Xenopus tropicalis: one gene and its partners. The protein of the gene in region 3 interacts with the protein of the main gene of each other region in a biochemical or structural test. Links are inferred from orthologs where the notes say so. Each region holds a gene or a part of one and is shown on either strand. Other genes may lie near its edges. The genes, in order: rps6ka5, cdk1 and creb1.

Evidence for each region.
Region 1: of the proteins of creb1 (region 3) and rps6ka5, one has a biochemical effect on the other in vitro, tested with the Homo sapiens proteins (3 studies listed by BioGRID, with this or other methods). The link is inferred for Xenopus tropicalis from reciprocal best matches to the Homo sapiens genes CREB1 and RPS6KA5.
Region 2: of the proteins of creb1 (region 3) and cdk1, one has a biochemical effect on the other in vitro, tested with the Homo sapiens proteins (2 studies listed by BioGRID). The link is inferred for Xenopus tropicalis from reciprocal best matches to the Homo sapiens genes CREB1 and CDK1.

What each region holds. Positions count from the first base shown.
Region 1 is NC_030684.2:86,956,814-86,968,188, forward strand, and holds the start of rps6ka5 (ribosomal protein S6 kinase alpha-5), read right to left. Parts: upstream 6,338-11,375; 5' UTR 5,983-6,337; coding exon 5,925-5,982; intron 1-5,924. UniProt on the Homo sapiens protein: Serine/threonine-protein kinase that is required for the mitogen or stress-induced phosphorylation of the transcription factors CREB1 and ATF1 and for the regulation of the transcription factors RELA, STAT3 and ETV1/ER81, and that contributes to gene activation by histone phosphorylation and functions in the regulation of inflammatory genes.
Region 2 is NC_030683.2:16,805,787-16,816,280, forward strand, and holds the end of cdk1 (cyclin-dependent kinase 1), read left to right. Parts: intron 1-288; coding exon 289-445; intron 446-580; coding exon 581-704; intron 705-2,234; coding exon 2,235-2,405; intron 2,406-3,318; coding exon 3,319-3,482; intron 3,483-4,945; coding exon 4,946-5,087; intron 5,088-5,265; coding exon 5,266-5,379; 3' UTR 5,380-5,605; downstream 5,606-10,494. UniProt on the Homo sapiens protein: Plays a key role in the control of the eukaryotic cell cycle by modulating the centrosome cycle as well as mitotic onset; promotes G2-M transition via association with multiple interphase cyclins.
Region 3 is NC_030685.2:49,764,702-49,775,547, reverse strand, and holds part of creb1 (cyclic AMP-responsive element-binding protein 1), read left to right. Parts: intron 1-2,159; 5' UTR 2,160-2,167; coding exon 2,168-2,281; intron 2,282-2,522; coding exon 2,523-2,669; intron 2,670-5,726; coding exon 5,727-5,827; intron 5,828-6,942; coding exon 6,943-7,085; intron 7,086-7,748; coding exon 7,749-7,931; intron 7,932-9,025; coding exon 9,026-9,176; intron 9,177-10,846.

The DNA of each region.
Region 1 (11,375 bases), on a different chromosome or scaffold from region 3:
TACTTTAGCAAAAATATTATATACATATGTCTACTACAAGCAAAAGAGTTACTTCTGGAGACCAAGTTTTTGTGATGAATCAACTGTTTTTAAAATGAATTTATGTGAAAATGATTAAATCACTCCGAAGCTGCTAAAAGTACAGAATGTTGTGCTGGATGCCAAAAAACAGGTCAGATTAATATAGGAAACCATAACATATACAAAGATGAAGTGATAAAAAGGAGGGGGCAAAATTTTTATCAGATGAGTCAGAAAACAACTCAAACCATCTTGAAAAGTAAATGTGTTTGTATACAAATCCACTAAAAAACAAGCATATTAGTAGTAGTGTTACTGTAGCAAACACACAAGTTTTACCAGTGCAGGGCCACTGTACATTATATTTTAATTATTTTAAAAAAACTTTAATTCTTTGGTGTTACGGTTTCTTTAAGGTGCAAGACAAAAAATTCAATGGATTCATTACATTAAAAAGTATATAACAGACTGTATTAAAGGAGAAGGAAATGCATTTTGGCATTTTATTATCACAATAGTGCAAGCTAAAACGCTATACTTAATCTGCAGAAAGCATTACCATACCCAGCCTTAGAAGCTCCCTCTGTTTAAGATAGCAGCTGCCATTTTAGCTTGGTCTCGGTAGCTTCCATGCTGCAGCAATAGAGGCTTGTAGCTCAGATTACACAGCACAGTTGAGAGGGGGGAGCAAGAGATGATTGGAGGGGGAAGAGGAAAAAGGAGGGGGGGAGGTAGAGAGGATAAAAACTGAGCAGACTTGTTCCTTTTCCTGAAGGATTTTTTTAAGAGCAGGAGGTCTGACACAGAAGAACATGTATACACTAAATACAACAAGAAATCCTTTTCTTTTGATAGAGGACTTGGTGCAGCTTTTCTGTAAGTGTTTATGGCTTTTTTTTTTTTTTTTTACATAGACCTTTCTGACTAAGCTTATTTAGTTTTTACGTTTCTTTCTCCTTTAAGGATACTGCACTGTCAACAGTTAACAGAGGGGCTGGAAAAAAGGGAGACATTTAAAAACAAAACAAAATATTAAAAATAAGAATATTCTAGCCCAAGATTTGAAAACACTACTGAAAATACTATAAAATACAGAAACATTTCATTATTACTTAAATAAAAATTTAAGTAATTTTCAGCTTCAGCTGTTACAGTTCACAAAATATGATGCTTATTGATTTGCACCTAGACGTTGATCAATTGATTTTATTGGAAATTAAAAGAAATGATTCTTAATGTAATTTAAAAATGATTTTACCTAAGGGGTCTTTCCATAATTTGGATCTTTATACCTTAAGTCTACTAAGAAATCAATAAAATATTAATTAAACCCAATAGGATTATTTTACATCCGGTAGGGATTAATTATATCTTAGTTGGGATCAAATACAAAGCACTGTTTTATTTTTACAGAAAAAAAGGAAATCAGTTTTCAAAATCTGAATTATTTCATTAAAATGGGGTCTATGGGAGACAGGCTTCCCGTAATTCGGGCTTTCTGGATATCAGGTATATCAAAGGATTCCATACCTTTATTACCATTTTTTTAAAATTTGAGCATCTTAAACCATTTCATCCACTGCACCCACTTTCCTGAGCAGGAAGGATTTTCTTAATCTGTTTATAGAGTGGTCCAAGTCCTCTCTTGGCTTCAATCATAATCCCTCACTTGCCTTCTTGGCACACAGCTAGCAGTTACACTTTCACTGCTTAAAAAAAAAGTCAGAACACTGCTACTCTGCCACAAAAACAAATTCTGTATCTGGAGATATAAGGTCACATGGGCACAATGTACTCTGAAATTTCTGTATCCAAATGTACAAAAGTTGGGTAATGCAGAAAGTGACAGAAATTAACGCTCTGGAACCTTTTAATATACCTTTAATATACAGGGGCTGATTCACCAAAGGTTGTTAACACTTAACACATAGTTTTATGCGTTAAAAAGTGTTTGTTAATTAAGTAACGATTCATCAAAGTAATTTTGCATGCGTTACTACTCATATCGCATGAGCAAAATCTCAATTATCGCAAAGCATTATGTCCATCACATTGTGATAATTATCTAATAGAAATAATACTAATGCATAATTCACAGACAAATTTTAAGCGTTAAAAGAATGGAAAATCGCGATAATCAGTGCTAATATTAACACCTCCTAGGTGTGGGCGTTACTCAAAAAACCTTGCGGTTTGGGAGCGTTTGTGAAGACATCATGAAGTTTGCAGTCCGATTTTTGTTGGATTGTGAAGAAGAGAATGAAGTATGTAAATGTCTTAGAGTGATGCATCCTCAAGTTTTCAGGGAACCTGTCATTTTCAGAATGGCAGTTTTCAGAAAGTAACGTAATATTTTTAACGCATTTTTTCAGCCTTTAGTGTGAAATTCAATATAATTTGGTCAATATGGTCATTTAGCTTCAATTTGCAAAACGTTTCTGTTTGGACCATTTCATCCTAATATAAATATACGTTTTGGGGAAAACCCCAAAAAGTTTATTTTGCCGAAAATCTACCAAAATCTTTAAATTAGTATAAAAATAAAATGATTTCAATAACATATCCACTCTATTACTGAAAGCTATTTCAGTTCCCAATAATTGCAACATAATATTTTCTGATACCTTGTAAATAGCCTATTCTATTTCTTTAAAAAAATGCCAAAAGAGAAACAAAATATCTACATAGGTCTCCTTCTGTGTTCTTCCAGTTGAGCACAATGTGTGGTTGTTTCTCTCTGTACTACTATACATCAAATTTACAACTTTGCATCCTCTAATTATAAGAAAAGTTCCATCACTATTATGATGGCAAAGATTAAGGCTCAGATTATGAGGAATGTAAAATGCAGCATACACACTTTCACAACTTCCCTAGTTCACAACTACACTGTGATGGTAACATAGGTCCTAACCCGTATGTTGGCATGAAAATCTGCCAACAGGCCAAGAATTTAAGGAGCCACACATAAAAAGGATTTGTTGACCTTGATCAACTGTCCATGATTATCTGCATCTGAGGGCAGTGACTTGTGATTGAAATTCCAACAATTATAGATTGAGAATTGGTTTGCAGGAAGCAAATTAATAATATCTCTATGTCTAACAGCATATGCACTTGTTGAAGTACAGAAGAAGACTACACACAAATATAGGTTAGGGGAAGGATGCCAATGAATCAGACACAGGATAAGGAAGTATTCCAATAACACACAAACAGGCTAAGGGGAGGTGCCAGTATACACAGTGTGAGATATGTATGCCACTAAAACACAAGGGAAAGATGACAATAACACACAGAGGGGGGATGCCCATGACATATATGCACTAGCTTAAATTGAGATGACAATAGCATATATGCACTGGCTAAGGAAGGAAAGCCAGTATTATATACAAACAGAATAAGTAAGACTGGCTATAAGACACACATGATGAAAAAAAAGATATCAATATAAAAATAAAACACTTGCAGGCTGAGGAAGAAATAGCAAAACACGCATATGGGCTGAGCAAGAGGCAGCAACACATGTATACAGGCTGAGGGAAAGGTAGCAATACACGTATACAGGCTGAGCAAGAGGCAGCAACACATATACAGGCTAAAAGAAAGGCAGCAACACAAACATACAGGCTAAGAGGAAACAGACTGACCAAAAGACAGCAACACACATATACAGGCTGAAGGAAAGGAAGCAACACACACATACAGGCTCAGGGAAAGACAGCAACACACACATACAGGCTCAGGGAAAGACAGCAACACACACATACAGGCTCAGGGAAAGACAGCAACACACACATACAGGCTCAGGGAAAGACAGCAACACACACATACAGGTTTAGGGAAAGACAGCAACACACACATACAGGCTCAGAGAAAGGCAGCAACACACGTATACAGACTGAGGGATAGGCAGTAACACACACTTATAGGCTAAGGGGAAAGGCAGCAACACACACATACAGGCTAAGGGGAAAGGCAGCAACACACACATACAGGCTCAGGGAAAGACAGCAACACACACATACAGGCTCAGGGAAAGACAGCAACACATGTATACAGACTGAGGGATAGGCAGCAACACACACTTATAGGCTAAAGGAAATGCAGCAACACAAACATGTAGGCTAAGGGGAAAGACAGCAACACACACATACAGGCTCAGGGAAAGACAGCAACACACACATACAGGTTTAGGGAAAGACAGCAACACACACATACAGGCTCAGAGAAAGGCAGCAACACACGTATACAGACTGAGGGATAGGCAGTAACACACACTTATAGGCTAAGGGGAAAGGCAGCAACACACACATACAGGCTCAGGGAAAGACAGCAACACACACATACAGGCTCAGGGAAAGACAGCAACACACACATACAGGCTCAGGGAAAGACAGCAACACACACATACAGGCTCAGGGAAAGACAGCAACACACACATACAGGCTCAGGGAAAGACAGCAACACACACATACAGGCTCAGGGAAAGACAGCAACACACACATACAGGCTCAGGGAAAGGCAGCAACACACACATACAGGCTCAGGGAAAGGCAGCAACACACACATACAGGCTCAGGGAAAGGCAGCAACACATGTATACAGACTGAGGGATAGGCAGCAACACACACTTACAGGCTAAAGGAAAGGCAGCAACACAAACATGCAGGCTAAGGGGAAAGGCAGCAACACACACATACAGGCTGACCGAAAGACAGGAACACACATACAGGCTGAGGGGAAAGGCAGCAACACATATACAGGCTGAGTGACACAAATATAAACGTAAAGAGGCCGCAATATACACACACACACATACATGTAGAGAGAGAGAGTGCAAGCAACATAAACAAGTTTGATGGAGAGACATCAACAGACATACATAAGGGCTGAGAAAGAGGCAGAAACACATACAGTCAGGAGAGATAGCAATGTGCCCACAGAGGGGGAAACAAAAAACCACACAATCACACAGAATGAATAAGTAACAGCAACACACACACAGCCTGAAGGAAAGACATACATACACACACATAAGAGCTTAGGGAGAGACCAAAATTTACACATAGGCTAAATGAAAGAAAGCAATACATTCATGCACATCGGCTGAGGGATGGGAATCAATACACACACGCACAAACACGATAAAGAGAAAGCAATCTATACACACAGGCTTCGTAAGAAAAAGTTATTCAAACACAAACAGGCGGTGTGAAATACAGCAATACAGACAGTGTGAGAGAGATACACAACACACTTATATGCAGGTTAAGGGAGGGGCAGCAATACACACAGGCTGAGAAGAAGACAGCAACAAACACACATGCATACAGGATAAGAGGCAGCAATACACACAAACACACACACAGGCTAAAGTACAGAGCAATATATGCACAAAGACTGAAGGACAGACAAAAACACAAACATAAAACTAAAAAGAAAAAGAGCCATTTGACAGGCCCAGGTAGACACAAAAATAACACAAATCCAGCCTGAATGAGAGGCAGCACTACACCCAGACAACACACAGAGCTGTGAGGTTACAGCCATAACACAGAGGGGTGAGGGAACGGCAGCAATATTCACATACAGGGGAGGGACAGCAATAATACACACGGTGCTGCGGTGTTACCAACACACACACACAGAAGGCGGAATGCCAAACACACATACAGGCAGGGGAAGGATGCTAATAAGACATTCACAGATGCAGTACTGCATATAACACACTCGAACTTTCTATAAGAGGTCAAGGGACGGATACAACACTCTTACATAACACATCTCTTCTAAACAGAGGTTGTCAGTAACATTCTACGACTGACGACTGCCTCAGGAAGTCACAAAACATAATTTAGATGACTAATATATAACTTCCCAGGTCCCCTTTGGACGCTTACCTGTCCGCAGTTCGTGCTTCACAGTGAGCAGGTCACCTTCCTGTGAGGGCCCTTCCATGTCCTGTCAAGGCGTGAACCCCAAGATAAGCACCTTGCGTATGTACAGTTTATCTATTGCTATGGTTGACGCTTGCCTGCTTATACACTTCCTACAGTGTGCCGCTCATCACCTTGCACTCCCCTGCCCTTCCAAACCCTGAGCCAACCCGATACAGCCCTCCACTCCGTTCCACTACGGCACGGAGCAACCCAGCGCCCTTCCAGGGGGCTCTACCTAACTTGCCCTGGCATCAACGACCTTATTGGTTAATGCGAAGACAGAAGGTGGAGCTAGGCGCACCCGTACCCCGGAGATTCCCTTCCCAGCAAACTCCAAGGTTGTAACAGAGTAGGGGCGGATCCCCGGCCTAACAACACTTCCAAGCCAGAGCTTCACTGACTGGAGCTATGTAGAAGCACCGCCTATTCACTCTATTCTGATTGGATTTCCCATATAGTCTATGTATACAAGAGTTCCCGCCTTTTCTTTTAACCCAAGGTGTTGGTGAGGATTCTGTATGCGTTGTAAGTGTTTTCTGTAACTGTAGTGTTTAACCCTTTAAGTGCCAGCCGAATTCGTCATTTCAGTTCCCCCCAGTGCCAGACATTTTGTAAACATTCTGTGCTCTCTCAATGTAGGGGCTTTTACTGGGGGCAGGGTTAAGTTTAGGTAGGCAAACTATATATTGTTTTTTTCAGGAGAACCTGAGCTTTCCAAATCTACCTGAGTTTTTGTGTATTTCCACTTCTGGAACAAGATTTAGAGCTTGAAATACAAAAAAAAAAAAGAAAAATGCTATTTTTCATGATATAAGGATTTCTACCAGAAACATATTTTATTTTATGGACAAAAATTCAACTGATTTGGAAAGCCTCATGTCTCCCGAACGTGCCAATACCTGATATGTATAGTTTTATTGAGATTTCTGACTTCTATAGATCAAAAACTCCCAGCAGTAAATTACTAAATTTTCAAAGCATTACAGCAGAATACGGCATACTTTACATTCCAAAGCCAAAAATCCTGGAACATTAGGTTTACCCAAGGAAACCATACATTTTTGAAAACTACACATTCTGACGAATCCGTAATGGGTAACTATGTCTTCCAACTCCTAAGTACCAAACAGCAATGCTTTACTGAATTTAGCATTTTCTATAAAAAATTATGAAAATTCTAAAAAATCACCTCAAATCTTCCACTTTCAAGCACCTTATCTCCCACATAACATTAGGTACCAAGAAAACACACCCTAAATATGAAAGCCAGGGGTCCACTGAACGGTTTGATGCCCATTGTGCATAGGATCACCGATGTATCTGGCATTTAGAAACCCCAAAAGGAAGTTAGTACATACAAATTGCCCAGGAGATCTCTTTTGCTACTGAAAATTCAATACATTTACTGCATTTTCTGTGGGGTAAAAACACAAAAAATACATTGACCCCCCAAAACCATATATTTTTGGAAAGTACACATTCGGACGAATTCAAAATTGGTACCCATGTCTTTCTACTCCAAACTACAGAGTCGCAATGCTTTCCCAAAATTGCCAGTTTTGATGAAATACCTAAAAATCACATCAAATCTTCCACTTTCAAGCACCTTATCTCCCAGATAACATTAGGTACCAAAAGAACAAACGCTAAATATGAAAGCCAAGGGTCCGCTGAACAGTTTGATGCCCATTGTGCATAGGATCACCAATGTATCTGGCATTTAGAGACCCCATAAGGAAGTTAGTGCATACAAATTGCCCAGGAGATCTCTTTAGCTACTGAAAATTCAACACACGTACTGCATTTTCTGTGGGGTAAAAACACAAAAAAATACATTGACCCCCCAAAACCATATATTTTTGGAAAGTACACATTCAGGCGAATTCAAAATTGGTACCCATGTCTTTCTACTCCAAACTACAGAGTCGCAGTGCTTTCCCAAAATTGCTAGTTTTGGTGAAATACCTGAAAATCACATCAAATCTTCCACTTTCAAGCACCTTATCTCCCACATAACATTAGGTACCAAGAAAACACACCCTAAATATGAAAGCCAAGGGTCCGCTGAACAGTTTGATGCCCATTGTGCATAGGATCAGCACTGTATCTGGCATTTAGAGACCCCATAAGGACGTCAGTGCATAGAGATTGCCCCAGAGGTCTCTTTAGCTACTGAAAATTCAACACGTTTACTGCATTTTCTGTGGGGTAAAAACACAAAAAAATACATTGACCCCCCAAAACCATATATTTTTGGAAAGTACACATTCGGGCGAATTCAAAATTGGTACCCATGTCTTTCTACTCCAAACTACAGAGTCGCAGTGCTTTCCCAAAATTGCTAGTTTTGGTGAAATACCTGAAAATCACATCAAATCTTCCACTTTCAAGCACCTTATCTCCCACATAACATTAGGTACCAAGAAAACACACCCTAAATATGAAAGCTAAGGGTCCACTGAACAGTTTGATGCCCATTGTGCATAGGATCACTGATGTATCTGGCATTTAGAGACCCCAAAAGTAAGTTAGTGCATAGAGATTGCCCCAGAGGTCTCTTTAGCTACTGAAAATTCAACACATTTACTGCATTTTCTGTGGGGTAAAAACACAAAAAAATACATTGACCCCCCAAAACCATATATTTTTGGAAAGTACACATTCGGGCGAATTCAAAATTGGTACCCATGTCTTTCTACTCCAAACTACAGAGTCGCAGTGCTTTCCCAAAATTGCTAGTTTTGGTGAAATACCTGAAAATCACATCAAATCTTCCACTTTCAAGCACCTTATCTCCCACATAACATTAGGTACCAAGAAAACACACCCTAAATATGAAAGCCAAGGGTCCACTGAACAGTTTGATGCCCATTGTGCATAGGATCACTGATGTATCTGGCATTTAGAGACCCCAAAAGGAAGTTAGTGCATAGAGATTGCCCCAGAGGTCTCTTTAGCTACTGAAAATTCAACACATTTACTGCATTTTCTGTGGGGTAAAAACACAAAAAAATACATTGACCCCCCAAAACCATATATTTTTGGAAAGTACACATTCGGGCGAATTCAAAATTGGTACCCATGTCTTTCTACTCCAAACTACAGAGTCGCAGTGCTTTCCCAAAATTGCTAGTTTTGGTGAAATACCTGAAAATCACATCAAATCTTCCACTTTCAAGCACCTTATCTCCCACATAACATTAGGTACCAAGAAAACACACCCTAAATATGAAAGCTAAGGGTCCACTGAACAGTTTGATGCCCATTGTGCATAGGATCACTGATGTATCTGGCATTTAGAGACCCCAAAAGGAAGTTAGTGCATAGAGATTGCCCCAGAGGTCTCTTTAGCTACTGAAAATTCAACACATTTACTGCATTTTCTGTGGGGTAAAAACACAAAAAAATACATTGACCCCCCAAAACCATATATTTTTGGAAAGTACACATTCGGGCGAATTCAAAATTGGTACCCATGTCTTTCTACTCCAAACTACAGAGTCGCAGTGCTTTCCCAAAATTGCTAGTTTTGGTGAAATACCTGAAAATCACATCAAATCTTCCACTTTCAAGCACCTTATCTCCCACATAACATTAGGTACCAAGAAAACACACCCTAAATATGAAAGCCAAGGGTCCGCTGAACAGTTTGATGCCCATTGTGCATAGGATCACCACTGTATCTGGCATTTAGAGACCCCATAAGGAAGTTAGTGCATAGAGATTGCCCCAGAGGTCTCTTTAGCTACTGAAAATTCAACACGTTTACTGCATTTTCTGTGGGGTAAAAACACAAAAAAATACATTGACCCCCCAAAACCATATATTTTTGGAAAGTACACATTCGGGCGAATTCAAAATTGGTACCCATGTCTTTCTACTCCAAACTACAGAGTCGCAGTGCTTTCCCAAAATTGCTAGTTTTGGTGAAATACCTGAAAATCACATCAAATCTTCCACTTTCAAGCACCTTATCTCCCACATAACATTAGGTACCAAGAAAACACACCCTAAATATGAAAGCCAAGGGTCCGCTGAACAGTTTGATGCCCATTGTGCATAGGATCACCACTGTATCTGGCATTTAGAGACCCCATAAGGAAGTTAGTGCATAGAGATTGCCCCAGAGGTCTCTTTAGCTACTGAAAATTCAACACATTTACTGCATTTTCTGTGGGGTAAAAACACAAAAAAATACATTGACCCCCCAAAACCATATATTTTTGGAAAGTACACATTCGGGCGAATTCAAAATTGGTACCCATGTCTTTCTACTCCAAACTACAGAGTCGCAGTGCTTTCCCAAAATTGCTAGTTTTGGTGAAATACCTGAAAATCACATCAAATCTTCCACTTTCAAGCACCTTATCTCCCACATAACATTAGGTACCAAGAAAACACACCCTAAATATGAAAGCCAAGGGTCCACTGAACAGTTTGATGCCCATTGTGCATAGGATCACTGATGTATCTGGCATTTAGAGACCCCAAAAGGAAGTTAGTGCATACAAAGTGTATATACTGCAATATAAGCTACCGGCATGTGCATTATGCGGCATAAGACCCCCTAACAGTTAGGAGACTCTAGAAAACCATATATTTTCCGAAAGTACACATTCTGACAAAACAAAAATGGGTAAATACATCTTTCTACTGCAAACTACCACACTACAAAGCTATGCTAAACAGAACGGTTTTTATGACATTTCTGAAAATTGTCACAAAGCTTGCATTTTACCCCATTATGTATCCCCACATTTTGTACCGTATCAACATAAAACATTCTAAATATGAACGCCATGGGTCTACTGAACAGTTTGATGCCCTATATGCATAGATTTACCAAACTATGTGGGGTACAGGGGCACCCAAGCAAAAATAGTGCATATGAATTTTCACATAAGACGCTCTGGCTCATGCAGTTTTTGCACCCGGTATGTGTATTATGCGGCATAAGATCCCCTAACAGTACAGAGACCCTAGAAAACCATATATTTTCCGAAAGTACACATTCTGACAAAACAAAAATGGGTAAATACATCTTTCTACTGCAAACTACCAAACTACAAAGCTATGCTAAACAGAACGGTTTTTATGACATTTCTGAAAATTGTCACAAAGCTTGCATTTTACCCCATTATGTATCCCCACATTTTGTACCGTATCAACATAAAACATTCTAAATATGAACGCCATGGGTCTACTGAACAGTTTGATGCCCTATATGCATAGATTTACCAAACTATGTGGGGTACAGGGGCACCCAAGTAAAAATAGTGCATATGAATTTTCACATAAGACGCTCCGGCTCATGCAGTTTTTGCACCAGGTATGTGTATTATGCGGCATAAGATCCCCTAACAGTACAGAGACCCTAGAAAACCATATATTTTCCGAAAGTACACATTCTGA
Region 2 (10,494 bases), on a different chromosome or scaffold from region 3:
ACTGGTTTCCAGATAAGGGATCCCATACCTGCACATGCATATTGGCTGGGATCAGTTTTCCACTGAAAATGGTACAAAGGTTCATACGATGTTATCTATACAAGTACGGAGAGGCAACTTATACAGACTGTCAGATATTCTGAGCAATGGGGGTGTATAAGGGCCTGTGTATAGTAACCAAGCACATCTCATGACCTCAAGGGATGGATAGGGGCTTTATTTCTGCACCCTACAGACAAGGCCTATTGGAATCTGGGGGGCCTCATCCTATCTTTCTGTTCCTCCCAGGCACATACGGGGTTGTGTACAAGGGTCGCCATAAAGCAACAGGCCAGGTGGTTGCAATGAAGAAAATTCGGTTGGAAAACGAAGAGGAGGGCGTCCCAAGCACAGCGATTAGAGAAATATCACTACTGAAAGAACTTCAGCACCCCAACATAGTTTGGTAAGTGATACCCTGCTTCCCCCTACAGAGTTTAAGCATTGGTTATTTATAAAGCTGCTGATTGGCTATAGGTTGAAGGGGGAAATAATTCCAGGAAACAGCCGTGGCGCTGACGCGTTTCTTTTTTCTTTCCAGCCTTCTAGATGTCCTGATGCAAGACTCAAGGTTGTACCTCATCTTTGAGTTTCTCTCCATGGATCTGAAGAAGTATTTAGACTCAATACCCAGCGGCCAGTATATAGATACAATGCTTGTTAAGGTAATCAGCAGTTTCTTTCTTAGGAATATTGCCTAATGGTGCAGCCATGCATGTTACGCAATGGGGCTGTGTATCTCCAGAAAATGCCCGCCTCCCATTTAGGGAAATGGTGCCATGATGGGGGCCAGTGGCATCCAGTCAGAACAGCACTTGCTGTATATCTCCTTGTTGTAGCCTGGGGAAGTGTGGAGGGGGGTGAACTGTTATGGATTTAGCAAACAATTACTAGCAGCAAGCAGGTACCTGGTTACTCTGTAGTCAACTAGTTCTGTAATTCCGGGCCACTGTAGCTCCAAAAATAAATAATTCTGGACAGCTGCCATCATCAGGATCTCTCGTCAAGGGCATGGCGCTGCTGCATAATCCAAAGTTTTGGTTTTGGTATTTTTTAAAGGGGCAGTATCCTCCCTTGTTTAAAGGGGAACTCCGGCTTCTGAACCAAAATAGGTTAAAGAGCCCCACACAATACAAGCCCCTAATATACCTACTGTTATGTTCCTTCAAACAGTCTGAATAAATCCCATATTTATATGCTGAAATCCAGCTGCAAAACAGTTCTTCCCTGTTTGCATCACTGGAAATCCTGGCAGGGGAGGAGGGACTAAAACATTACAAATTGTAACAACTTCTCCACAGCTTACAGATGACATGCAGGGACTACATAACCCACAATGCATTGCACTGGGATGTTCCCCTCCTTATTGACATCACGTGTGCAGGGAATTGTGGGATTGGGAGGATGCAGGCTGAGGACAGGCAACTACTGTTACATTTTATTTGAGTCACAAAGTAGCCAGCCAGATCAGCAGGGGAACAGGGGGCGGGGCTCAGGGAACTGTTCCAAACCATATTACATTAAAAAGCAACCAGGCAGTGGAGTGAATGAAAAGATGAACAGGAGAGGGGCTGAACAGAAAGATACGTCATTAAAAGTAACAAAATTGTAGCAGCTTGAAAGCCAATTGGAATGAAACATTCCACTGTACCATACTGTTAGTATACCCATGGATGACAATGGGGCCCCTACAAACCAAATGCACTGCCCATATTTGTCATGAAAGCCCCACAGACATTATGTTTAATCATCTTATTCTGAAGTAAATGTACCTTAAACATTAAACTGCAAGTCTTTAACTTTTTTTTAATATCCTAGAACTACAGAATAGCAATTTGCAACCAGGCTTTCATATATTTGAACTGAAAAATGTTGACTGCAGAGTCGGGGCCTAAACTATTAGTTGCCCGATTAGTCGCTTGCGGTTGCAAAGAGATAACCGCGGGCAACTAATCTCCCCATGGGCCATTGCCCTTGGACTACAAAGGGAAGTCTCTTCTCTAAAGATCTATGAATTCACAGCCACAGTTTTGTCAGGCATTCAGCCATATATTATCCTAAAATATACATATACAATATATATATATATATATATATATATATATATATATATATATATATATATATATATATATATATATATATATAATATATATATGCTTTTTAACGGTTCTGGTTTGTTTCCCTTCCCCCAGAGTTACCTCTACCAGATCCTACAAGGGATTGTATTTTGCCACTCCAGAAGAGTGTTACACAGGGATCTGAAGCCTCAAAACCTGCTGATCGACAGCAAAGGAGTGATAAAGTTGGCAGATTTTGGCCTTGCCAGAGCTTTTGGCATTCCGGTTCGGGTTTACACACATGAGGTGAGTTATCGGTATTATTCCTCCATCTGAAACCCCCCCCCCCCCCCCCCCCCCATCCTTCACACTGCTTTTCTCTGCAACCAGTTGAGGTCCAACAAACTGGCTGTAGGGGAGAGCCTTTCCTCAGGGTCAATTACTGGGTCTCTTTGTGCAGGTTTTACATCCCCCCCCCCCCATTGCACCCAGTTATCCTGTAATTCAGGGATCCCCAACCTTATACCTGTGAGCCACATTCAAATGGGAAAAGTTTTGGGGAGCAAAACAAGCATGGAAAAAAGTTCCTGAAGGTGCCACTGAGAACTATAATTGGCTATTTGGTAGCCCCTATGTTGACTGGAAGCCTACAAAAGGCTGTCTGGCGATTACACTGGGGTTTTATTCAATCAAAACTTGCCTGCTTACCAGAAATTCAAAATAAGCACTGGCTTTGGGGACACTGGGAGCAACATCCAAGGGGTTGAGGAGCAACAAGTTCCTCACAAGCCACTGGTTGGGGATCATTGCTGTAATTTATAGCTGTAAAAACTGCCTTAAAGAGAAGGAAAGACTTCATCATGGGGGAGTGGGGGGCAACTTGCTAGGCAGCCTCCAGTGCTTATAATTGCTGGGGCTCCTCTCCAATGAAAACTGCACACACAGTGCCACGCCGCCATCTTGCTTTCTGTACAATTGAGCAGAAGTTTGGATTTTGTCTATTACACTTGCATGCCACCCAGCGGAGTAGCTAGGATTATTGGGACTTTTATGCAATATTACCCTAGGCTGGTGCAGTTTTCACCACTTCCTACCCCTGGTGATAAAGCCTTTATTATACTGTTGCTATAAAGCAATAGTTGATGAGAATGGGTTTATATGGGGGGGGGGGCTGCTGACTGTGACGGGAATATCAGAATAACCCAGTGTCTGGTTACAGGTAGTGACGTTATGGTACAGAGCCCCAGAAGTGCTGTTGGGGTCAGTCCGATATTCCACACCGGTCGACGTATGGAGCATAGGAACCATTTTCGCTGAGATTGCCACAAAGAAACCCCTCTTCCATGGCGACTCTGAAATTGACCAGCTCTTCAGGATATTCAGGTACCTTTCTATCTTTAAATAAGACGTATTGGATAAATAGAAAAAACCCCTATAATTTTGTAGGCAATTATGAATAATATACGGTGCTGGTTTCACTTTGGGCTAAACATTAATCCTATCTGTAACAATGGCCCCTTTATTGGAGCTCCCTATAGATCCTATAGGTTCTCTGTCCATGTTTCAAATGTAAGGTGGGCGTGTCCTAACGGTCTCCGTCTGAAGCACAGTAGGACGGGGAGAGCCAATCACAGCCCAGGCTTCAATTCCCTATCGGGTCAGTCTAGCTGCTGATTGGTTCCTATCCTACAGTGCGGTGAAATGAGAGCTGTTGGCTCTCCTCCCCAGCAGGAAGTGGAACAGATGGGCGGGACTAGTGGGGTTTATGTGGAATTTCTCAATAAATTAGTCCGAAACACACTTTTTTTTTTTTTTTTTTTTTTTTTTAAAGCACAATTCTTCTATATCTAGAGGAGTATAATTCACTGATACAGGACTTTGAACGCTCAGTTTTAATTGGTGGGCAGCATTTCACTGAAACCCTTATATGAAGAACATTTTTTTTTTTTTTTTTTTTAAAGTAAAACTTGTTTATACACTGCAGTCCGAGAATTTACAGCTGGAAAATGGCCTTTACGCTTGTGTGGCTGAAGCCGTTAATGGATCGTGATGTAGAGTGATGTTGAGTAATTGGTCTTTGCTGAATTTCAAACTAGAGAGTTCTAAATGATAAAGTTAAATAATCCAAAAGCCGCAAATTAAACAAAGACCAATTAGTCTTATAACATCACTCTACGTCATGATCGGTTATTTTTAAGGTTAACTACCTTAAATGTACTTGTAGCGCTATCTGGTCAGTTACCCTAGCAACCATGCACTGAATACTTTCGCCCTTGTTCGGGCAGGTTTGATTTACCGTTGGATCAGGAGCCACATTGGCTTGTTGATGTGGTCTGACGGTGCTAATGCCTTCTGGGTGGGCATCACAGTAGCTTTAGAGCAGGGGTGGCCAAAAAGTTGATCGCGGTCCACCAGTCGATCCCCCACGAACTTCTGGTGGACCGCACCCCTGCTTTAGAGCAATATGTTGGGGCCACTGACCAAATCAGCTAAAAACCTAAAGGCTTGAGAGAGTCCAAAAGTTGCTAATTGGCCATTCGCTAGCATTCTGAAACGTGAACACCTTTCCACAGGCAGAGGATATGCTTGTGCACTTTAGCCCTATATATTTCTGATGCATCTGCTGTCCTGAACCATTAGGAGCCCAATATGAGATTTATAATCTTCTGAAACCCCAAAAACAAATATGCAACTAAAATATTAGCTTTATTTTAAGTGCGGGGATGTGGTCAGTGGGAGTCTCTACCTAGTCTGGGCCAGGACCCATCTAAATGCAATAAAAACCCCTTCAGAATCACAGAAACCCCTAATTGCTGCAATTAAAGCAACTGATTGGCATTTTGCAGAGCTCTGGGAACGCCCAACAATGAAGTGTGGCCTGAAGTGGAGTCTTTACAAGATTACAAGAACACATTCCCCAAATGGAAAGGCGGAAATCTGTCGGCGAATGTGAAAAATATCGATAAGGATGGGCTGGACCTGCTGTCTGTGAGTATGGGGGGATATCTAATGGCGATTGGGTTATAGGCGACTGTGGGGCTGTATTCAGGGGACGGAGAGCAGCGCTTTATAAAGGGGTGTGTTGGGGGGGGCTTACCTTGTATAAGATGGGGATAAAAGTGGGTTTGCTCTGAGACTGACTCCTTTTTTCTTGCTACTTTTACAGAAAATGCTAATCTACGATCCCGCCAAGAGAATTTCTGCGCGTAAAGCGTTGCTGCACCCCTACTTTGATGACTTGGATAAGTCCAGCCTTCCTGCCAATCAGATTAGAAATTAACACACTGAGCGTCTCTTCTCTTGGGTTTCTGGGTGGGAATCTGATGTAAATCACTTTCGTTTTTTTTACTGTCTGTACGTTGATGTATATGTGTGTATGTGTCTCGGCGCCCGAAGTACTTACCTTAAAGCACCACACTCTAAATGTAAATATGGACTGACCAAACCTGTGTATAAATGCATTTCCCACACAGACATTTCATTTCCAATAAAGCTTTATTATATATTCCTGATACGGTCAGCTTGCTTTATTATTTTTTTATTGGGGTGGGGGTTATTGTCTGTCCTATGCCACATTAAGTGGGTAGTTCACCATTAAATAAACATTTAGTATTGTGTATACCGGTATTCTAAGACAGTTTGCAATTGGTCTTCATATTTTATTTTTGGTGGTTTTTCATTTAGCTTTGTTTAGCAGTTTTGGTTTTAAACAGCTATCTGGTTGCTTTAGTGTCTTTACCATAGCAACCAGGCAGCAGTTTGAATGAGAGACTGGAATATAAATAGGCGAGTAATAAATGAATAGAAAGTTAGGTAATGAAAATTAAGAATAACCGTAAAATTGTAGCCTCACAGAGCAATAGTTTTTTGGATGCCGGGGTCAGTGATCTTCATTTGAAAGCTGAAAAGAGTCAAAAGAGGACTATTTGCAATTAGTCTTAAAAATGAAGGTTTTTCTGTTTAGCTTTTGTTTGCAGCTTTCTATTTTGGTATTTTAGCAGCTATATGGTTGCTAGGGTCTTAACCTAGCAACCAGGCAGTGGTTTAAATATGGGCATATGAATTGTAGAAGGCCTGCATAGAAAGATATTTACTAAAAAGTAATAAAATTGTAGCCTCAGAGCAATAGTTTTTTTTTTTTTTTTTATATTGCGACTGCCTGGTTATGATTCTTTTTCGTCTGTGTATAGATAAATAGTATTGAGGTGATGCCAACGTAAGATATATTAAGGTGGCTTCTATATTTGGGGGGCTTAGAAGTATCTAAATTGGGTTTTATATTGAATTGGTTAAATGATTCCGAAGGCTTCTTTGGTATGTCTGTGGTGGTAGATATTGAATTGGTGATTGGGTTGCCTTTGTTTGTGGGGGAGGTGGGTAGACGTGGTTGTAGTGAGATGTGTAGGAATGTGATGTGTGGTGATGTGGGCTGAGTTGGTGCTGCCAACTAAGATTAATAAGTTTGGACTTTCTGTATTGTTGGAGGTATTCAGGGGGGACAGGTGAGAGGGCTATAGTGGGGGTGGTAGGGTATTAGGAGTTGGGTATGTTAGGGGTAGGAGGTGGATTCCTAGTTATATGTCTTAGTGGAGGAGGGCGAGTGTGTGCGTGTACTGTTGATCCAAGGTGAGTGGAGGTATGAGGTAGAGCGGAGGGGTGTGGGGTAGGGCTTTCGTGGGGGGGGTTGAGGGGCCTTATTTGGGGAGGTAAGGGTGTATGTGGGGTGAGAATGTGGTTAAGGTAGTGAGATGAGGGTTGGAAGGTGGGTGCGGGGCGCGTATTTGTGGTGGGTGGGGTGAGTGGAAGAGGTGAGAGGAGATGTACTGTGAGTTGATGTTCTGAGGATGGGTTTATTTGGTATAAGATAATGGATGAGTGTAGTGGCGGTGTGCGGCTTATCTGTGGGAGAGAAACAGTTCTATTGGTTTAGGTTTAGAGTTGGTGTAAGGGGAGAGGGTGAGTTCGGCCTGTTCTGTGTATGGGTAAGAACTGGGATAATTTATTTATAAGTAGGGGATGACAGATTTTACGGTTATAAGTGAGGGGTTGGGTGCTGTTTATGATCAGCTCTTGCGATTACTGAGTGATAGTTATCGGATGTAGGAACTTTGGTGTGTGGTGTGAGGAGAGTGGGGAGATGGGGTCTTGGATTGTGGTGGGTTTTAGTGTGGCAGTGAGAAGTGGGTGCTGATTGTTGTTGTTTGTTTTGATCTGTGTGCCGGGTGTGTGTGGTGGGAAGTGTGTTTGTATATATTAGCGTAGGAAGATTAATGTAAAAATGTCATCTTATAAACAAAAGTGAGTGGAGATACTATGGTGATATAATATTCCTTTTCTTGTGATATTAGAATCAGGGTCAGTTCGGGTATTTGATAGCTACTTAAGAGGTATGGGGAGCGGAACTTCAAGTGCATGAGTAGTTAATTAAGTCTCGGGTCTTAGTTTATAAAGTGAAGGTTGGGACATCGCAGTTGTATAGTGGTTGTCCTTTATATGGTAGTCGTTGATTAATATATATTTAGTACCGTTAGGTGGGTGGGGGGAGATATATGAGGTCGTGTAAGAGTTGGGGGTTTAATTTTGAGCGATGGAGTTGATTTAAGATGATTTCCAGTTTTATTTCTTCTGTAGGGATTATTGTGTTTAAATGAGACGGGATTGTGACATGTTGATAATTTTTGTAGAGGGGGTACTTTATAATTAAGTGTTGAGTTTCCCGTAGCGAACTTGCGTTGGTGTTAAATTTGATGAGTTAATGAATTTACAATACATGTGAATCCTTTATTTAATAGGGTTACTGCTCATATAATATGGTGGTGGAGCATGAACGCGCTTTATTTCGAGGTGATGCTGGGTTGTTCTATGTATAAAGTATTTTGGTTTAAATGTAATGCTCTTGCTATTTTTTTCTTCTGTTTATTTAATTGAGGATTACTCATTTTTGAGAGAGTCTGGCGTACTATGTATCTTCCAACTTAGAATGATAGTGAGTGTATGATCTGGAGCATAAACTAAGTGATTGTGTTTGGATTTAATTATCTGTTGTTGTATTAGCTTTAAATTATAATATTCTAGGTTAGCAGAGACTATAGAGGGTTTGCGTAGAAGGTGTTAAGCAGCCCATATTTCGTTCATGCTTAGGAAATACTAGAGTGAGGACATGTGGGATTCAAAGACATGTTATCCGCGGAATATATCTCTCTTTGGTGCCGAATTGTGGGGATAGGGGGGGGTGCCAGCTTGTGTTGTTGTGGGAGTTCGATCGAGGGTTTTGCTGTATGTGTACTAGGGATGTTGTTCTTAATTTATTGTATGTGGCCATTGTTGGCTTCTGGCGTTAGTGGAAATGGATTTATGTGTTATTCGTGTTGTGATTCATGCGATTTCTTAAGATTTCTGCTTTTTTTTGAATGGTGTAATTTCTGTAACTAAAACACAATACTATTTATAGAGGGGTGAGTATAGATTACTGGGATCGATACTAATATATGTGGCTTTGCGATTGATGTGAGGGAAAATTATTCCTGAATTGTTGTGACCTTATTGTTGTTTTCATCTATGGTTCGTCTGCCGTTTTTATCGTAGTCCTGTCTTCTTGGTTATTTAGTGAATTGTACTACTTTTTGTGGGTGTGGTTGTTTATTTAGTACTGGTTAAAGAGAGGATTTTCCAGGTTGCTAGGACAGAGTGGAACGGCAAGACGGGATTGGGGCAGATCAAAAGAGTAAGCAAATTAGAAACATATTAATTATTAGTTGTAAGTGATGGGGCATTCTTAAGAATATTGTTTTCACTGTTGTGAAGACTTGTATGTGTTTCACTTGTATTTTGGTGAGTGTTGTGTTTAGTGCAGTTGTGATTAGTGTGTTATTAAGAATTGTGCCAACTTATGATATCAATGTGACCACTGATACTGCGTTTATGTTGCATTGGTCGTTGTCGGCCCTTTGTTGGGTGTGGGACGTTCAATGAAACATTTTGCATAGGAATTCGTATTGAATTGTCAGCCTTGGTGCGTGTCAGTCATAAGTTATTTTCATCTTGCACACGTTTTTAATATTGGGCTGTTGGCGTGTATCTTTGAGTCTGTTTTAGTTGTAAAGGGATTCACGGGCCTTGTGAATAGAGTTCGGCTGGGGAGTGAGCTGGCTGATTCTACATTGTATCATGTATGTGCAGGACGGCAGGTGAATGCGAGAAGAAGTAGTTACAGGTCAACCAACGGTGGGGTCAATAGAGCTGTAGTTTATCTGTAACTTAACTTACGTTAAATGATGAAGGGTAGGTTCATGGTAGAGAGTTATGATGTGTTAGTCTGAAGGTGTGCTCTATTGCGTGATCTTCCTATGTTTGGATTAGTTTGTAGTTGCTTGGTGCCGGAGTGGTCGTGAGGTGTGATTGGAGAAATGATTGGTAATAAGGGCGCTTTTGCGCCGAAGGTGTTGTTTCTATTAGTGGCGGCTAGGGGGCATGTGGTTAACCTTTGTTATGGGTCTAAGGGATCTCAGTGCTTGGTATTCGGTCCCCGTGTCTTAGGGGATACTTGCGATTGTGGGGGGGTGAGGTGTGTGTTCGATTGCTATATTTGTCTTCTGCGGTGGGGGAATTACTCTGTCCTGGAAATATTGTTGTGCGGTTGGGTGACTTTCTGTTGTTAAAGATATGAGACTTAGGGGTGTCTGCTGAATTGTGATTTCTATATAGTTAGTGGCGGGTGCTTTTGGGTTGATGGCTGGTTGACAGAGGGAGCGCAGCCTGATGGGTCACAGTTGGGGTAGATTTTTAATGGGAGTGAAGTGACTATTTGTGCAGTCGATAACTTAGGGGGTTGTATTGCTTAGTACGCGGGAGACGTTAAGTAGTGTGTGACTGTTACTATTTTTGGTTTTTGTAGATAGCCAATGTTATCTAATATACTCTTTGGTGAGGGCTTGGTTTTATGTGGCTGTAGTTTTGGTGGGGGGCCCTGTGTAATGTTAGTCTGAGTAGGTCAGTTAGGGGGGATATTGGGGTGAGTGCCTTATTTGGTTGGGCGCGCGGGTAGCTTCGGGGGATGAATATTGTGCGGTGGTGGTAAGTGGAGCGATAGCTACTCCGTGTATTCTGGGTTTCAATGTTTCTTATTATAAGCATGTTATGCGGGGCCTTAGTTCTTTGTTATGGGGCTTAAGGGGGCGGCAGCTAGATGGCAATTGTGGTGTAGTAATAAAGGGGGGAATTTGGGGTGTATGTGGCTATAATGGTTTTCGTTGGGCTCTCTGTGGTATCCTCGTGCACACTGGAACTACTAATAGAGCATAGCGGGGGTGACTGTTACCGGGTTGGCTCAGATTTTTCTTATTATATCTGGTAACTAGTTGTATATGGGGCTATACCTATTAGGAGGGGCTATCTA
Region 3 (10,846 bases):
AGTGCAGCATGGCACTTCTCTATGGCTTGCAGCCTTTTAATATTTTCTCTCCTATTTTAGGGAGCTTGTTCGTTAGTATTTTTAGCTGAGATTAAAATTGGAATTTATACAGTAAATTAAAGGACCTTTAAGATAAATTTAATTCATTACATTTTTTTTTTTTAGTCCTGCCCGTTAAATGTTTCAAGTAAAGTAAAAATCAGTGTTAATGGTAGTATGCATGCCATGCGCTCTTCTTTATGATTTTTTAATAAAAGCCTCTACCTGATCCATTTTGCAGTAGAGCTTTAGATAATACGAGGTCATTCCATACTACCAAAACACTACAGAAAACGGTTTTTGTTCATTTTTTTAAACTTAAATATACTTTCTGGAAGCGATTTATTATTTTCAAAATGCTGAGCGTCTGTGAATGCTTTTGGGCTTAATATAACTAGTGTTTTTGATGCTGTTATAAGCTAAGTTAAGCGTAATTGTCTTTCTTAATAAATGTGGTATTCCTGTAGCTGAGTGGATCAGGTTTTGGAGAAAATCAGCGGCATAAACACTGGTATGTTTAAGAAAAAAACTCTGGCAAAATAGTGACAGTATTGTTTTGTCACAGAAAAATAATTTGCAGGCAAACAAAAAACACAGTTTCATTCATTTTCAATAATTTTAATGAATTGGAGAAAAAATTGGTTTCTTGAAATCTTTAATAATAGGAATTCAAGACAATTGGAATTCATTCACATTGCAGTTCCCATTAAGTTTTTCCATGCAAACTTTTTTTTTTTTAAACAAATCTTAACTATTTGAGTTTTCAAAAAGTATTCTTGCATATATTCAGGTTTTTTAAATACATTTATTGTTGCGTTTTTTTGTTTGTTTGTTTTTTCTCAGATCATGGAATATTGCAGTCTTGTTTGAATCCTGTTAAATCCTGCATTAATCATTTTGCGCCTCCATGACTACATACTCTGTGACAGTTTAATTTTATATATTACTGAGCTTTTGTATTGAGCTGGGCCAGGAAAAAAGCTGTGCACTGCAGGTTTCCATGGAATAAGCTTATAAATGCATGGGCTAGGGATGGTTGTAAATGTTCTGTCATTCTTTAATTATCTTTAGAAACCTTTTCATAGATCGGAGAAATTAAAGAGCACTTATCAAAGGAAAATTGTTGAAAAAAATGCTGATAGTGAGTTCTGTGCCCCAACTGGGGGGGAGATCAGCCACTAAAAGCATGTAAATGTGGTTGTGTCCAAACTTGTTTTCTATGCGCATGTGCGTGACATCACAAGCATGCGCATAATGAGAAATCCAAGTAGCCCTTTCATTAAGCACTTCCTTGTGGCGAAACATGTCCAGCATCCCAGCATAACTTTTTGACAATTATGTTCTCTACTAGCCCTCCCCCCAATACAGTGGATATAAAAACTTAACACACCCCTGCAAAATGGCAGGTTTTTGTTTAATAAAAAAAGTAACTAAGATAAATCTTGCCGGAACTTATTCCACATTTATTGCAATTTATACAAAGAAGTTGCAAGCTAATCAGAAACAGTTTAGTGAAAAGAGAAAAGAAATAATCCATACAAAAACCTGGTTGCACACCCTCCAAACTAATACGTGGTTGAAGAACCTTTTGATATTATTACAGAGCTCAGACTTGAGTCTGTTAGTTTGGCAATTTTTGGCCAAAATTTTTCTAAATTTGTCAAACTGACTTGATTATTAAATAGTGTGCATTGTAATGCAACTAGTTTTTTTGTATACATTTTTGCTACTTGTATAGATGGCAATTTTTGCAATACAGGTGAAATACTTTGACAGGATTGATTTATCTTGTTTTTTTTTTTTTTTTTTTTTTTTTTTTATAGGGGTTTGAAAACTTTTTATATACCCTGTAGGTGCTCTTTAAAGGCTGATTTAATAACAGGTGTTTAATAATAGGTGTTAAATAACACCAGTCTAGTTGCCAATCAGAGTAATTATAATCAGTTTACAAGTTTGACAACTGCACTACTAGTACACTTTAGTACTTCTGTATATTAGTAAATGTGTCTTCTAATATCTAAATTTAGGGGAAAATGACATGGCTGGGTATGTGTGGTCCATGTTTAGTTCTGTGGTAATTCCAGGTAAGGGTAAAAGACTTTATTCACTACAATTTCCAGGTAACTAAATGACCATGGAATCTGGTGCAGAGACACAGCAGAGTGGAGATGCCGCTGTCACAGAGGCAGAAGCCCAACAGATGACAATACAGACCCAACCACAGATTGCAACATTAGCACAGGTATAGAGTGGTTAATTGCTTTCTTATTGACGCCATGCAACTAATTAAGGCTCAAACATTCAAATTCATCATAAAATGCAGCTTTTTTTTGTTTGCCATGCATTACTGGTACCACTATCTGCTTAATTCTCCTGCCATTATGGCTTTTTTCCCTTAAACACCGCTTTGTGGAAGCTGACAATGTTCCTTTATTAAAATATTTAGAACACTAATTCTGTTTTGCTTTTTCTCTATAAAATAGGTATCCATGGCGGCTGCACATGCAACCTCATCTGCTCCTACAGTAACATTAGTTCAGTTACCCAATGGACAGACAGTTCAAGTTCATGGAGTTATCCAAGCTGCACAGCCTTCTGTCATACAGTCCCCACAAGTACAAACAGTGCAAGTAAGTAGTTTTTGTGAGTTTAAATTCTATAAAGAACATTGTCTTTGCACTAAATAAACATCACTTATTATGTGTTGCCTATTAACTTTAATTGCTCATTTAAAATAGTTGCAGCTTAGATCTTATAGATTATAGGTTCCAAAACCGAGATTCTTGAAGCCAAAGATATAAGGGGGACACCCTTGGTGAGCAACTTCTTATATGTACAGGTTCTGGATTGCTTTTTACACTTTGTACCATGCACAAATATCATAACCTTAGCTGAGCTCTGATTTAATAATGTTATTCAAACTAAAAGCCATACAGATTGTTTTGAGTGAATTTGAAGTGAAGGTCCAGACTAATTGTTGATTTTGTGAATCTGTCGGGATCATATAAAAATGCAATAATGTTGGTTTGGTTAAAATTATTCACTCAACTTAAGTAGGTTAGTGACACACGGGGAGATTAGTCACCCCTACTAATCTCCCTTCAATGCCGTCCCACCTGCAAGAATGTAAATTGCTGGTGGAATGGCATACACGTTGCTTCGTTTTCTTGAGATGCGATTTTGGGAAAACAAAGCAATGCGTGTGCCATCCCTCCGGTGATTTACATTTTTGCCGGTGGGATAGCATTGTGGGGAGATTAGTCGCCTGCGGTAATGTAGATTTGTCCCTGTGTGTCACTGCCCTCAGCTAGCAAGATTTAGCCAGTCAGATCAATTATATGAAAATTAAGCCGGAGGGGGAAGAAAAGTGTAGTAGAGCTTCAGTCCTTAACTTCCTTCTTTGGCATTCTGCACATAATACAGGCAGGGGTTTTAGCAATCCCAGGTTAAGTCTGTGATGTGCAACTCGAGTGCACATCACAACTCTTATATTAAAAATAATTTATTTTAAATAATAAAGATGATTTAGTAAAATGTTTTTAATGAGGTTGACTTATTTGGTAGGATGCAGTTTACCCTAGTAACCAGGCATTAGTTTGAATGAGAGACTAGAAAATGAATAGGGCAGGCCTAACTAGAAAGATGCTCAAAGAGTAATGATAAAACTTGATTTCATCAAAGGATATGAAAAGCCTAATTTTAATACATTTCCAACAGGTAGGGCTCTTAAATAGAAATTCATAGGCCCTTACTATTGTGCCCTATAGTACACAGTTTCTAGTGCAGCTCATAATCAGCGCATGGTTTTCAAGTACTTGGGTGACATCACTACTGCCTATTACTTGATCCCTGGGGCTTAGACTAAATGTATGCATAGAAACAATCTGAGAAGTTTGCTTGTGCATTTAAAATTTAAAGCTTTCTGATGTAGAGGAGTTAGAAGCATGCATTTACAGATGTTCAGTCATGTGTATGACATCAACAGATAAGATAGTGACCACAAAGCAGTCAGTACTTTGCAGAAACTGATTACTGGCAAAGTAAGGCATTGAATCAGTTGTTGTTTTATAGCCCCACCTCATCATGGTAGTTCTGGACAAAACTATATAAAAGCAGTACAATACATTACAGTAGTGCAAAATGGGAAACTTTAGCTCTTCAAGTTTTCAACTATGAATCTAGTCTCACTTGAAAGGTGTGCTTTAGTGAAGTTTGTCAAAATGTTGCACCCACTTCAGCTTCTTTTTAGGGCTCTGGCACACGGGGAGATTAGTCGCACGTGACAAATCTCCCTGTTCGCGGGCGACTTACATTTTCGGCGCTGGGATGGCAGTTTGGGGAGATTAGTTGCCTGTGACAAGGGAGATTTGTCGCGGGCGACTAATCTCCCCGTGTGCCAGAGCCCTTATGGGGACAATGCAAATAAAAATACCCATAAACTTGTAACCCTAAATATTAATTTTATCATTTTGTGTGTCTAATGAATGAGTTTCAAGTGTTGCCTTAGAAAAGCAAGGAAAGGCTGTATTAAACTGTAATTCTAAAGAATGTGTTTGATAGCGTATCCAGTTTTGAAATGCACCACCCTAATTTAGTACGAACAATAAAAATTTAGGTACTTTAATGGAGAAGGAAAGGTAAAAACTAAGTAAGCTTTATCAGAAAGTCTATGAAAATACAGCCATAAGCACTTACAGTAATGCTGCACTGAGTCCTCTATCAATAGAAACACATGATGTCTTGTCTGTTTTTTTTGTAAAGATGTTGTTGGGGTATCTGACTTTCCTAAAAAAGATTCCAGGGAAAAGTCACGTGAAACCCTACATTAAAGGAAAACTATACCCCCAAGCAATGTAGGTCTATATAAAAATTATAGTAGTATGTGTTATTAGGTACTCCTAAATAGAAAATTTACATTTTAAGCAGGGCTGTGGAGTCGGTAGATAAATTCTCTGACTCCCGACTCCTCAGTTTCTGATACTTCCGACTCCACGACTCCGACTCCTCTGTTTTTAATATGCTAATGTATTTTATACATTCATACAGTCAATGAAAAGCATGCTTCATGGTCACTCAGCGTGTTCGTTTATGCACTGTGTGCATTGGGCTTTATTCTTATAGCAGAGAAGTAATTAATTTTGACTGTTTGTGAATTGGGACATTTAAACTTGCTTTATTTTTTTTTTTATTCCCGTTTAAATTTAGTAGGAGTCAGAGTCGGTTCCAGATACCCAAAATTGCCTCCGACTCCACAGCCCTGATTTTAAGAATCAAGGGCCGCCTCCTGAGATAATAGAATTTACAGTGCACACATACATGCAAGGCCACATCAGCCAATTAATGGACAGAGTTCTACCTTTTGCTTCCACACTTCTTGTTACAGTTAGAGCTGCATTATTTCTGGTCATGTGATCTCTGAGGGAGCACACAGACCCTCACTAAATGGTGGCTCAAGGGAAAGGATGTAAAAAAGCAATATTTACTGATATATATATTCCAGTTTGGCAAGATTCTTTAATAGGTTATATTATGTTAAGTGACCTATCTGTTTGTTAAGTATTCTTTCTGGCGGTATAGTTTTCCTTTAACCTGCAAATTTAGAATACACACAAAAAATGTATTCAGTATATATTCTAAGGCACAAATCTTTATTAACTATTTAACTGGAGTATTTGTTGCATGAACAGATTTCCACTATTGCTGAAAGCGAAGATTCTCAAGAATCAGTAGACAGTGTTACTGACTCTCAAAAACGCAGAGAAATTTTGTCCAGGAGACCATCATACAGGTAACTTCTAAGTTGATATATAACAAATACTTGGTTATTAATTTAACATTTAGTTGCTTGAGCTGAGGGTTTACATTGTATGTTTTTGTTTCAGGGAATCATTTGCACATCCCTGTCCTGCTTGACCAGCATCTGCCTAATACTTAAAATGCTGGATTGCATTATATAACTAAAGGATGTTTGGCTGATTATTCCATAGTAATTACAAATTGCACATACTTACATTCATGTCAGGCAGGAACATGACTCCAACACTGCGCGTTTAATAATAAATTTGAATGCCAACTATTCTGCACTGACAATGCTATGATCTTTGTACCTGGGTACTTAATATATTTATTATTGCATTTTATTTGGAACAGGGGCCCCAATTTATCTTTGAAGTCTATTCCCTACCCTTTGTGTCTTTTTTAGTAAGTCATGTGCAAGTGTTTTACACTGTAAGGAGTGCATCATTCAGGGGTCAGGTGATTCCTTTTCTTTTTGCTAATATCTATATCCCCTGTCAGACAACACTTTTATCATTGCCTTTCTTTGGAATATTAAGGGCAAGGGCACATGGGGCGATTAGTTGGCGCAAGTTTTAATAATTCTGACGTGGCAACGAATCATAGCGATTTAGCTGCCATAGGTTAATATGAGTTGCTGTGACCAGTCATGCACTATTTGCAGCTTCCCGATTAGTCATTGCAGCGACGAATCACTCCGTGTGTCTTCACCTTTGCAGTGCCAGTATTTTATTGTTCTTAGGCTTCTTTGGTTTTCATTATAGATATATAATCTCTCACTGGCAGCGTCCTTTAAATTCATGTGTTATTCTCTAATTGTTTGCTCTTTTTTCTCTTACTGCACATGTTTATTCATAGTACAACACAAGGGTGACATGTTGGATTTCCAAAATCGTACTGAAAAGTTTAAGAAAAACATACATGTTAAAAAACTGATACTCCATAAGCTTTTATTTCATATTTGTCTTTGACCATTTTGTATTACAAGCAGCTATTTATTTTGTAAAAAACTAGTGAGAGACCATAATTTATTACCCTTTTTTTAGTTGCATTAGTCCTGAGATATTATTTGTTAAATAAAATGTACTTGTACCTTTGTTTCTCCAGAAAAATTTTAAATGACTTGTCTTCAGATGCTCCAGGAGTACCAAGAATTGAGGAGGAAAAATCAGAAGAAGAAACTTCGGCTCCTGCTATCACAACAGTTACTGTTCCAACTCCTATCTATCAAACCAGCAGTGGACAGTATAGTAAGTACTATTTGTGTCATAGGATACAAACCCCCTAATTTACTTTTGTACATTGATTAAATCTGAAGATTTATCAGATGTTAATTACATTAGCTGAATATATTTTGTTTTTTAGGCAGTAAAGAAAGGACACGTAGCCACAAAAGACCCAAATATGGGTTGAAATTGCAATTAAGGCCCTTGTTTTTGGCAAATTAAAGAGTCCAAGCTATTTTTTACTCAAATGGATTCTGTCATGATTTTTATTGTGTACTTTTTATTTCTAAATTACACTGTTTACATAGCAAATAATTCACTCTACTATTTAAAATTTTATTCTTGAACCAAGGAATGGATTCTTTTAGTTGTAATACTGGTGTGTAGGCAGCCATCTTGGTGCATTATGCCCAAGTCTGAGCTTTTGGAATGCTCTTTGTAAAGCCAGTGCTACTCGTTAGAACTGTTTTTAGATAACCTATTGTTTTGCCTACTCCCACGCAACCAGAGGAGTCCCAAGCTGGACTTGAATTTCTTACTGAGTGCTATTCTGATATTTACTGGAAGCTGCTATCCTGCTGGAGAAGTTCTATTAACTGACAGTCCTTTAAATATATAAAATGTACAGTTGAGCATATCTTCTTGAAATTGCGTTGATCTTGATTTTTTTTTTTTATAATTTTAAAGTTGCTATTACCCAAGGAGGAGCAATACAGCTTGCTAACAATGGTACAGATGGAGTGCAAGGACTTCAGACATTAACCATGGCTAATACAACAGCATCCCAACCAGGAACCACCATTTTACAATATGCACAGACCACAGATGGACAGCAGATACTTGTTCCTAGCAATCAAGTTGTTGTCCAAGGTAAGATAAAGATCAAGATACTTTGTTTTTCACAGATTCTGAATATTATATTTTTCTCTCTCATTAAGTATCAATGACATTTTTAGCCCCTAAAACTGGGTTTTTATATTCGTGTATACTGCTACAGTCATCAGTTTGGGCTTTGTTTGAGCTGTGATGCAGCTACCGTTTTAAAAGTAATTAAAGTGATGGCTGCTCATTATTACATTCAATAACTCCCTGTTTGGGTGATCCTCTTATATAGGGGCCATACATTGGCTTGGCCAAAGCACATTTCCACATAATAATTTCAGTTTTGCCATACTTAGGGTGAAACCTAAATTTAGAAGAGTGCAATATCCAGCATTATCAAAACCTTTTATTATTAGCAATGATACTGAACGCAAAACCTATAGAGGGTGGTTGATCTATATGAGGAGATTTACATGATAATGATGGCTAGAATCTGAAATCTGCCAAAAACCCTTTTCCAGTGCACAGTGACTTCTTGTGGATTTTGCTCTACTTTTCTTAAGCTTTAATACTAGCTATATTGTATTTGTCCTCGTATAAATAGGCAGGAATAGATTTCTAGCTGATAGCGTCCTGCCTCCTTGAACAGAGAAGAGTTAGCCACGTAGTGCCATTATCCAACCTATGGAAATCCAGAAACACAATAATCCCCAAAACCTTGTTATCTATAATTGATATTGTAAACTTTGTTTTTGGAGAATTATGTTGTTAATCTCTTCATAAAGATTACATTCCTAACATTATTCTATTTTAGATGCAGTAACTGTTGTATTGGTGCAGGGTTAGTTACTGCATCCTCTTATTTGGCGAGCCGAATCGGGCTTATCCAATCATTGACCCAACTGGGATAACAGTTGGTATGAAAATATGAGCGCTTATAGGCACACAAAGTCACTTCCTTTGTTTTGCAATCAAGATAGATGTGACTTCAGAAAGACTGAATCAAGTTGTTTCCACTTTAACACATGTAAAGTCTAGATTATTTGGCAGATACGGTACCATTCTTGTACAAATTGTACTAAATACATAAATAGATCTATATTAAATACATACAATATATTTTGTAATGCATTGCTTCTCAGCTGCCTCAGGAGATGTACAGACATACCAGATCCGTACAGCACCTACCAGCACTATTGCACCAGGAGTGGTAATGGCTTCTTCTCCTGCACTTCCTGCCCAGCCTGCTGAAGAGGCTGCACGAAAACGAGAAGTGAGGCTTATGAAAAACAGGTGCGTACAATTATTTATATTGGAAACAAAGATTAAAGAGGGATTATCACTAAAAAAAAAAGTATGTATATTTAGTGCTTATGATCCACCCTAATAGATTTTATAGCACATTAAAGGAAAAGTGACGCTTAAAAATTTTAACTAAAAAATCTATTCTACCATCCCCCAATAATTGCCCTATCCTGAAAACTATTTGTTATTTATAATGCTTTTGAAGAAAATACCTGTAAAAAAACTTGGCTTCCGGTCATTTCAACAAAGGCGATATGGCAACGCAGAGAAAGTTTCAGGGGATATGGCCATGCAGGAGAAAGTATCGGGTGAAGTTTAACTATGCGGTGATTTATTGATCGAGTCTAGCCTGACTCCTTCCTATACAGAAGGAAGGCTAGACTCGATCAGTCGATCGCCGCATAGTTAAACTTCACCGGATACTTTCTCCTGCATGGCCATATCCCCTGATCTTTCCCTGCGTCGCCATATTGCCTTTGTTGAAATGACTGGAAGCCAAGTTTTTTACAGGTATTTTCTTCTAAAGCATTATAAATAACAAATAGTTTTCAGGATAGGGCAATTATTGGGGGAGGGTAGAATAGATTTTTTAGTTAAAAATTTTCAACGTTACTTTTCCTTTAAAAATACCAAGCATTTTTTATTAGCAAAAACAATTTTTTGTTTTTTCAGCTTTTAGTTGCAAGTTAGTAGCAAGTTCTCTTTCAAAACCTAAATGTCACAAGCGACAAAGGAAGGTGCTCTGTAATTTTCAGCCTTAGCTTTAAATGCCCCTATATTCCTATCCAACCATTCATTTCGTTTTCTGTGGTGTGTGCCAGTATTCAATTTTTCTATGTGCCACACTAGTCATAGGATTTATTTTTTTTTTCACTCTGTGACCATGTCTGTCTTTTGCATGAACAGCACTCTATCAATTAAACATTTTTAGGAGATTGCATTAAGGTGGAAGGCAAGCAAAGAAACTTCTACAGTGCAGAAAAATAAATTTTACACTAGTAAAGTATTAATATTGTATCCCTTTAAATTGCAATATAAAATATAATAAGGAAATTCAGTCATGTCATAGTACGCAATTTTTATTCTCAACCCTCCTTTAAAACCTGCTAGATTTCTCTCCAACAACATTTTGGCAGCCAGGTTTTCTGAATGTCCATTAGTTTTTAAAGTTTGCATGAACTAAGTTAAGTTGAAGTTTTAACATTTAGTTCTGGTGCTCTTGCTGGTTTAATTAAATGGTGTTTGCTTGTACTAGACATCTGCAAGGAAACCATAGGAAAAGCAGTCACCCGCAGATTTTTTTTTTTTACAGAAGAAAACTGTTAATCATGTGTGTTATAAAGTAAACTGCATTGGAGGGTTAGGGCATTGGTACCTACCAAATTGGTTAATTTAAGAAGATCAGCGCCCTCGATTTTAAGTCTCATTGAATTCACGATTGAAGTAGGTGGAGAACATAATCAGTATTAAAAACAGTACATTTATTTATATACCTTAAAATTAATCAAAAGTATTTCATTGAATAGAATTCATATTAATAATCAACATTTCATAAAAAAGAAAAATGTCATATATTAATAGCAGCAGGATTTAGTCAGCGGTTATTTGCCCAGGTAGTAGATCTTAAAGTGCACTTGATTGGGTCCCTTGTATCATTA